Coturnix japonica: one gene and its partner. The protein of the gene in region 1 interacts with the protein of each later gene in a pairwise test. Links are inferred from orthologs where the notes say so. Each region holds a gene or a part of one and is shown on either strand. Other genes may lie near its edges.

Evidence for each region.
Region 2: the proteins of NMI (region 1) and GCSH interact in binary tests that used the Homo sapiens proteins (3 or more experiments, as listed by UniProt). The two-hybrid records come from large-scale screens. The link is inferred for Coturnix japonica from reciprocal best matches to the Homo sapiens genes NMI and GCSH.

Annotation. Positions count from the first base shown.
Region 1 is NC_029522.1:30,826,574-30,830,478, forward strand, and holds part of NMI (N-myc-interactor), read left to right. Parts: intron 1-375; coding exon 376-483; intron 484-1,381; coding exon 1,382-1,544; intron 1,545-2,013; coding exon 2,014-2,120; intron 2,121-2,234; coding exon 2,235-2,424; intron 2,425-3,135; coding exon 3,136-3,242; intron 3,243-3,905. UniProt on the Homo sapiens protein: Acts as a signaling pathway regulator involved in innate immune system response.
Region 2 is NC_029526.1:13,644,758-13,650,355, reverse strand, and holds the start of GCSH (glycine cleavage system H protein, mitochondrial), read left to right. Parts: upstream 1-1,810; 5' UTR 1,811-1,851; coding exon 1,852-1,972; intron 1,973-4,451; coding exon 4,452-4,531; intron 4,532-5,370; coding exon 5,371-5,434; intron 5,435-5,598. Other genes in the region: PKD1L2 (polycystic kidney disease protein 1-like 2), read left to right, coding at 117-218, 747-878, 1,364-1,489. UniProt on the Homo sapiens protein: The glycine cleavage system catalyzes the degradation of glycine. The H protein (GCSH) shuttles the methylamine group of glycine from the P protein (GLDC) to the T protein (GCST).

The DNA.
Region 1 (3,905 bases):
GTGAAGTCGTCAGTACAGCAAAAGAGTTTTCCACAGGCTGTAAAAGAGCTGGTTTCTGTGTCATTTTGTTTAGCCTGAGAGCCACTGATGAGCAAGTTATGCTTCCATATTGCAAGCTGGGTGACTTATTGTATGCAGTATATCCTTGGAAAAACCAACACTCTGTTTGAAAGTCCTTACTGTAATTTGCTTTGATTGAAACTGCTCCTTGGTGAGTGCATTTGCCTTGCAGATAGGTAAAGTTATGGAAAAATGCCTCATGCTTGGTGGTAATATTTGAAAGCTGAAACACTTTCTAATATCTACAGATTTTGCTGAAACGTACTTCTATCTCCTGTATGTTTAATTTTGCATTTAATACTTTTTGGGCTGTAGACAGAGCTTTGTGTGCTAGACCACGATAATTCTGAGCTGAAGAGAGACATTGAGAAGCTCAAAGAAGAGCTTGCAGAATGTTGTTCAGCGCTCTCGCAGGATGGTAAGGTAATGCTTGCAATATTTTACAGTTATTATTTTAGAAGGACACATTTTTGGTCAATTCTAGACTGTTGAGGTCAGCTGTTTACAGTCATAGAATGACCTGGGTTGAAAAGGACCGCAATGATCATCTGGTTTCAACCCTCTGCTATGTGCAAGGTCACCAAACACCAGACCAGGCTGCCCAGAGCCACATCCAGCCTGGTTTAGCATTTAAAGCTCAACTGATTTCAGTATAAAGTACAGCTTGATGCTTTATTTTCTTACTTTATTTGGCAAGAAAATGTGAAAAAGACTAAGGATATGGAAACAAATATGAGTGTGTGAGATACTGATGAGTGAGAAAAGTGAAGAAAAGTAGAAAATAAATTAAGTGGAAGACATTGGAGTAAAAAATGCACGTAGTATTGCTATTAATTTTCAAGTGCTCACATTTAGTATTCCTTGGGTGTGAGGATGGCAGAAAGAATGAGTCCTTTGGCAGTAGTGAGAACAGAAAGAGAACAAGCTCTGAGTTAAGATGCTGGTTTTGAAGATAGGTGACAGAAATGCTTTTATTGCTCAGGCTGTTTTGTCTTGGAGGAAAACAGTATTTTCCTTTTATTTTGAAACAGTTTCAAAAGGGGAAAGAGACGCATCTGAAACTCCCTGGTATCTATTAAAGTAGGCTTTCCTAACCAATGTTTTCATGAGTACTCTTACCTACTCTCATTATAAAATACTTCTGTTTTACTACGATGGTAATATGCAAGGTAATTTATGAACAGATTCACCATTGCTGTAGAACAATAATGCAAGTAAGTAAAAAGAAACGATAGCGATGACTCTCATACTTACTTTACAACTTCCTGTTGTAAATTAAATTACATGAAGTTTGTTCTCTATCTTGATTCTAAAATACTAGATTAAAAAAAGGGTGGCAGAAATGAAAGTGGAGTTCACTCGCATGGAAGACACAGAGGGTGACATTCTGGATATGAACACCCACTGCGTTTTTTCTGTAACAACAAGAATCCCATTCAAACTGAACCAAAACCGAGCACTGCTTACTTTGGAAGATGAAGAAGGTATGATGCATATTTGAAGTATAAAATGAACGGCTGATGTATTTCATTACCATAATGGGTGACTCCATTATGCATGTATACTGCAGATACATCTGATCCATTATTTCAGCTAAAATCTAACAGCCTTAGTGGGCATTCTCCACTGCTGGTAGTGATGTGTTTTTATCTGTGGGTTTTTGAAATAAAATACCAAAAGTCCAGTATTGATATTTCATACAGTGAGAGCATCCTTTGACAGTATCTTTTATTCTAGAGACAGTATGGTGTTTTAGCTGTTGCCTATAGCTAGTGAGATTGAACAGCAGCAGATATGCCTGAAGTTGTGGGCAGTTAGATATGGTTGCCTAACTGTCAGTTATTTCTCCTTTAACAACATGAAAGGAGATTTTGCTTAAGAGACTGACAGGTTGTCAAGTTACAGTGATGAAACAAGGCTTTTCTTACCTGTAACCTTGTGATTTTTCCTTAGTTGCCCAGAGACTGACAAAAATGGGTAAGCATACTGTGAACCTGGATGGAACTACAGCAGATGTGAAAGTGGTGCCTTTTACAGTTGGACTGGGAGTCAAATTTGAGGTAATCAGCTGAACTATGAAATGACAAAGATACACACTTGCAGTACTTAAGAAGCTTTAGGTTTGGTTTTGTGGGTGTTCTCGATCACAAAATGCACAACAATTATTTCTTTAGCTCCACATCACAATTTCTGGAAAGAAGATCAATGTTTCGGAAATCCCTGAGCTGCCAATTCCTGATGAATGGATGAAAGACAAATTAGAGCTGAATTTCTACAAATCTGAATACGGAGGAGGAGTAGTAGAAAATATAAGATATGACAAGAGGTCCAGAACAGCTGTGATTACGTTCACTAGACCTGGAGGTATTGCATGTAATGTTTTGTTAGCTGGATATACAAGCCACGTTGTCCCTTTATTCCCTTATGTTCTGAGTTAACTTAACCAGTGAATACAGCTAATTCTTCCCCAAGGAGAGTTAAATTGATCAGGAAAAGATGTAGGTTCACCCACACATTTGTGAATAAAGCAGTGCTTCATCACATTCCTTTTTGATCAAACACGATATGCAGCTTGCCCACTTTGCTTCTTTCTTAACTTTGCCAGAAAACCCTTTTTTTGCTTTGGATTGCTCATGAAAATTAGGAAAACATGTCTGATTTGTAGCTCTCGTTCCATAACAATGAACTGAGAGAAGCATTCGGATTGCCCAACTGTAGGCATTCTGGTTTAAGTGCATGAAATTCTACGGAGGCCAGCGGAACCACATCTATTTACAGCAGCTGCTTTAGTTTTATTTCAGAAGCTTTTGTGGGTATTTACTGGTTTTGGTTTTTGGAAAGGCCAAATAAAGTTGGTTGGCCTTTTTATTTTTTACTTTTTTCAAATTACATATGAAGAACCTGCAAATGCACCATCATAGGTTTATTTCTAGATCCAAGTAAGAAAGGTCAGTCTGCTCTTTGATAGTTGTACAAAATTGATCTTGTAGGTCCTTTCCAACCTTGTGATTCTATCATTCTATGAAAATGCATTTTAGGTTATTTTACTGTTCTTTTTCTCATTCTCCCTTACAGCAATGGCCAGCATTGCGAGATGTACTAAATACCCTTTCTATGTAAATGGAAGGTGCCATAAGCTTTCTGTGTCCCCAAGGACTGATGGACACTTGGAAAAGCTTCAGGTAAAATACTTCATATGCAGATCAGATCCATAGGAAGCACAAGAAATGGGCAGAACTTGTAGTTCCAAGGACTGCCCAAGTTTCCTATAGTAAGTTTCACAAACCGAGTACCAGTGTGACTCTGCAACGTGCTGATTGTCTTATATTTAGTACTGTGAAAAAAAAAATAATAGTTTAAAATGGTGTGTGTATCTTATGTTGGGACAGTTGATATCATTACATACCATAACATCTGTGCCAGGCAGGAGGCAGACACAGAACAGCTTGTGAAGCAGGTTAACAGTAGCACAACAGTGTGTTTCCATGGCACAAAGCACTGGCCTCTTCAGCCCTAATGAGAGGCCGTGTTGATAATCTCAGCAGAGCGCCTTGTTGTACAGTGGAACAGTTGCTGATTCATTTCTTCTTACGGTCGTTTGACCCAAATAATAACTTGTTTCCCTGTAGCGCTAGTCTGCTTGCTCATGATATTCTCACTGAAATTGTCTTTGATTTTGTATCAATAGGTTGTCACCGAGTCAGTGCTGTGTGTATAATCAGCTCCTTATAATTAAAGCACTGACTAGAATGCGTGCATTTATGAGATATAACAGCATCACAGTGTGTGATGGGCTTCCAAGCTCCTTTTATCTTCAGTTGTAGATCATAGTGCATTGTCCAGAC
Region 2 (5,598 bases), on another chromosome or scaffold:
CCCATCTAAACATTAGGCTAAAAGACTGGGTACTAATTCCTCCATATATGTGAAGGCAGTTGATTTGCAGCAAGGACTCTGACTACGATGCAAGATACGTCTTCTTTCCTTTGCAGACAAACTTGATATTTGGCTGGAAGCTCTGCTCTTACAAAACTCTCTCTGATTCAGCAGAGACCATGGTCAGTCTTCAGCTGGGAATCTTCAACTACGAGGAGGTATTCCCTCTTGATTTTGAGTTTTGGCATAATATTTTTCAGCTCTACATCCATTCAAGTAGTTAATCCCCAAAACGTACTCCTCTGCTCTTTAATTCCTACACAACCCTTACCTGATATGTGCCCTGACAGTCTGTGTAAAGACACTCCTAAATAGAAGCCCACAGACATGTTATGTCTGCTTTGATAGCTGGGACACAACTGAGCTGGTTTGCCAGTTTTCACCTCAAACTTCCATACCAATACATTCAAATGCAAACACTTAAAACAAGAACAAAACACAGAGATTGCCCATATTAATATTTCACATTATATGAAATATTTCATCTTCTTTGCACCATATTATATCAAAGCCCGAAAGTAACTAAAGGAGAAAATCTATTTATAAATGTATGATATATAAATATAGCATAATTTATTACGCACAATGATTTTCAGAGGGACAAACTCCTAATGGCGTGATAGCTGCTTGTATGTAAGCTCCCTTTTAAAATCAGAATGTGATGTCTTACCTGATTGATCTTTCAGATCTTGGACTACAGCCCGATTTTAGGCTCCTTCTTAATTGGATCCTGCATCATTTTCATGACGTTTGTGGTGCTGAATCTCTTCATCTCAGTGATTCTGGTTGCTTTCAGCGAGGAGCAGAAGCACTATCAGGTGTGTTATCTCAGCTCTCCTGCTGTTCTTTAACATCAGTCGTGCACTTAATCACAACATAGGTATCCCACCACCTGATGAGACCTATGTAAACTCAGTATTACTTTTAAGAAGTCAACCTATTCCCATAAAGCATGTTTCAGATTTGCCAGAATTACTCTGTCCATTCCTGTTCAGATCCATAGCCTGGCATTCACACACTAAATCCAGAGCCCCAGCTCCATTGAAATCAGTACCAAAATGGCTACAGAATCGATGAGGCCTTTACAGCTCCTTTTAACAGTGTCACTGAGCACCTGGTCTGTTCAGATATTGATGGCATTGTGTGAAATCCACGTTGGGCATTAGGAAACATTCCTTGTCAGAAGGAGCAGTGATTTAGTGGCACAACTGTGCAGGGAGGTGGAGGAGTCACCAACCATGGAGGTGTTAAAGAACATCTGCTCCTGGCTCATCTGTTAACTGGTCCCTTGTCTTTATTTCAGGCTTCGGAAGAGGAGGAAATCGTGGACTTAATGCTCATGAAACTTTTTGGTTTCTTTGGGATTAAATGCAAGCAGGAAGAGAAGACGGGCTGTAACGATCAACCAAAACAACCCGTCAGCAATTAATGGCTAACCGTAACGAAAACGCTGCTTTGTTTGTTGGCTCAATATCGTGTTTTGTAACTGCCAGACTTGGGCTATCGTGCTTCTGACTGGAATGCTGTACGTAGCCTTGCAAACTCTTCCTGATTGATGCAATTGTAGCTAAAAACTCGCACGAAACGTGAAATAAAGCATCCCATGAGCATCAGTACGTGTTATTAATCAACACCCAGCGTTATCTCCCTCAGCAGGGCACACAGGGAGCTGCATCCAAACCGCTCCTACCCTCACCACACACACCGACATGGCGGCGCTCCAATGGCCGCCTCCATCGAGAGGCGGGAGCTCAACGCGGCGCCGCCCCCGGCCGAGGCCGCCCGGTAAAGATGGCGTGGTTGGCGTTGTGGAGGCTCGGGCCGGCCTTGGTACCGCGCTGTTCGTGCCTCTCTGTCCGCCCGCAGGTCCCCGCGGTGAGGAGGCTGAGCACCGGCTCGCTGCTGCTGTCCGGTGAGTGTTGGAAGGGCCGCTATGGGCCCGGTGTCAGTGCAGCAGGGTGGGAGGGCTGCAAGGGATCCCCTGCACCGGGCACGGCGCTGAGGTTTAAATAGGAAGGAATGACAACACAGAAATGCTTTGTGTTGTGTTTGAGCTGCATCGTGCAGGATGGAAGGGCTGAGAAGCCCGGGTAGGGAGCTGCAGCCTCTCAAGATGGCTGGAGAGCTGTGTATGATTCCAGGGGCACAAAGAGGAGCCCTGACACCGGGGACCGATGGGTCTGACCGGGTTATGTGCAGGTTGTGAAGGTGTGTGTGTGTGCAATGTGCTGCTGTGCACAACAGAAATGCTGGATAAGTGATGGCTACCACTGACAAGTTTGCTCCCATACAGCCCAGTAACTCGCTGTTCAATGCCTGCTGCAAGAAACAGCATCCATCGTTATTTGCTTCTATCACTAATCGAGTTGCTTAATGTACCCGCTGCTTTAGATGTAACCTGATGAAATAACACGAGCTGTGCTTCCGTTTTAGGCAGAGAGGAAAAAGTTTGGTATGGCTGATTGTGGAGGTGTGAGTGTTCCTTCACTCTTCAGGTCTATATTTCTGAAACACTGAACAGAGGCAGGATGAACCATTTAGTTCCATTTAGAGGTGTGAGTTTAGGATGTGCTCGTTAAGCTGAAACCAAAGCCATGCTGCAATGAATGAAGCTGGAGAACATGAAGCTGCTATTGTGGCAAAGGACGCTCACAGAGATTTGCTGTGCTCTGATGTCTGATATCCCTATATTTTGATCTCTTTCACGTGCAGGTCATGTAAGCTCAAAGTTCAGATTTTGAGATTACTCATTAACTCCTTCTCATTTGACCCGGACTTTATTTACTTTATATATGTGGGCTTTACCACATGGTTAGAATTTCTCATTTTAATCTTTGTAAAAAAAATAAAACTATATATATCCTATGAGAAGCATACGAGCATTTGGGGCTATTAAGAACATATCAGTATCTAACAAAGCAGTGAAATTTGTTTTCTCTTTTCCTTCCCCATAATCTCACCTTTTAAACAAATCTTGCACAATATCATTGTCCAACATAGAAAGATACTGGCTGGCTCCTCTGTGATGTGCATGACGTTAATGTTCAGCGGGGGCTTGAGGTCTTGCGTTGTTCTGTTCTCATGGTTCATTACTCATTTCCTATGAAATCCCTATTACCTGGGGGTTAATGCATTGACCTAAAGCAGTTTGGTTTCTTCTGTTCATTAGAACATGTCCTGAGAGATTTATGTAGATGTTAATAGCGCTAGATGAAATTCTGTGCTCTATTTGAGTGATGCTGTGTGGAAAGATGCCTTATTTGCATTATACTCGGTCTGTTTTGTATGCTCTGCTTCTGTATATTGTGCTGCCACAATAAATATAACTGTGAAACTTGAGCTGCCATAAGAGAGAAACTATTTGACCTCTTCCACACGTTCAGCCCATATAGATGAATCACAGCAACTGAAACAGAACATTACTGACTAAGCATGAGGATTTTACCAGACCTGTAGTGAGGATTTCTGCTTTCTGTTATATGTGAACCAAGGAAATAAGGCTTTGATGTCAGGAAGAAAACTGCTTCAATTTCTTCTTTTGAATGTAAAAATAACTGCTGCTGGGAAAAGAACATGAGCAGCCCTGAGTCTCACAGCCCTACACTATATGCGGAATTTTAGGGCTGCTGTGGAAGAGATGTAACAGTCTTACACACGCACATCTTAGAACTATTCAGAATGAGTACTGTGTTGTTCTAAGAGTATTAACATCAAATTCTCTTAAGTAACGTTTGCCTGTTTGAATGGCCCCATTAATTTTACCTATATTGATTGTGCCTGTTTTTACATATATCAGTGATGACATTGAATGGGAGAAATAGACAGTAGAGAACACGTGAGGAGAGGGAAGGGATTCAGCTGCCCGGAGCAGGCAGGCTGCAGCTTCACCTGGTCACTCTGCTTCATGTTTTGAATGGGATGCTGCAATGCTGACACTATCATGTTATTAATGCTGGCCTTCTGCCTGCAACTTTGTTATTCCTGGGAAGGAAACACTAAATATGCTTGGGAAGACCTCAAGGCATCATAGAAAAGGTTATTACTGTGAGCAAAGTAAAGATGTGTGCTTTGGATTTGTATTTTACGTTTGAACTATTCCTTTTACCCCCATGGTTGACAAGTTTCTGGATGATTGCATAGGATCTAAGGCTGGCTGTGGGGCAGAACCCTGCAGTGAGCTGCTGCTGTGTCACTAAGCATGTCCTGAGCTGAACAAAGTGCTTCTGTAAATTGTATTTGCTGTTTGTAGCATTTTCCAAGGGGGGTTGGGGAGGAATCAAAGCACCGAACCTCAGGGGAAAGCAAAGCAAAGCAGCAGGGTTTGTAACCAGTGTATTGTGTTTAAACAACTTGCCACTGATTTCTGAAGTATCAAGTTTGTTTCATTGTAGCCCGCAAATTCACAGACAAGCATGAATGGATATCAGTCGAAAATGGCATTGGAACAGTAGGAATCAGCAATTTTGCACAGGTATTGATCAACTCTCTCTTTTCCTACCCAAGTCTGCAATATTTACTTACAGATACCTGCTCCTGTCCTTGCTCTTTGGATAGCTGCTGTTTTTTTATGGTTGTAATTGCATATCCTATACACGCAGAATGAGGTTTTTGGACTTGGCACCGTCACATTATTTGAGAAGTGGGCGCTGTTTCAGCATTCTGATAGATTCTTAATCGGTTTAGATCGAGCCTGTGGGGAGCTGAGTGTGATGGAAACTTAATGGTTCAAATGAATTCAAAACTGCATTTATTACCACAGTACTGTAGGCCTTGGGAGTATGTGGCTGTGGTGAAGTCAGATTCCACTTGAACATGAATGTGGTGCAATTCCTTTGGCTAAAAAAACCTATTCCATGCTGAAGTGTAACACAGTCTATATTTCTCAATATAAAATAGTGGAGGTAGGGGGGAACCCTTTGGAGTTTTGTTCTGCTCTGATACAAGCATGTGATTTGGAGTAGTGTTGGCTGTGCAGTTAGCTGTGCTGGCTGGTGCTGAGAAGATAAGCAGATGCTCTTTCTCATTCTGCCTGAATAAATCTATAGATGACATGCCTTACAACTCAGCCCGAGGGTTATTAACATCATAATGGATAACAGTTAATTTGGCATTTGGGTCATGGTAACCTAACATTTTTGTTTTAATTTCAAGTTAAGTGTTTAAAAAGTAGAAAATGCACAATCTTTAAATAACATCTACATTTACACAGGGTTCTAGAACCACATTTATGCTGGTTCTAGAGTTACTGTGTCAGATAACTCCAACTTACAGTTTCTTTAATGTAAACTTTGCATTTGTTTTTCTTTTCAGGAAGCATTAGGAGATGTTGTTTACTGTAGTCTTCCAGAAGTTGGGACAAAATTGAATAAAGATGGTAAGTTTCAGCTCTAGTTCCACTTCTAGCTTCTTTTCAAAGTCAAATTCTATTAAGTAATCTTTATGTTTGTTAACACCATTACACGTCTGGATGCAAAACAGAAGCAGGTATTTCTATGAATGGAGATGATGGCTTTCATTGCCAAGTCTCTGAATGCATGT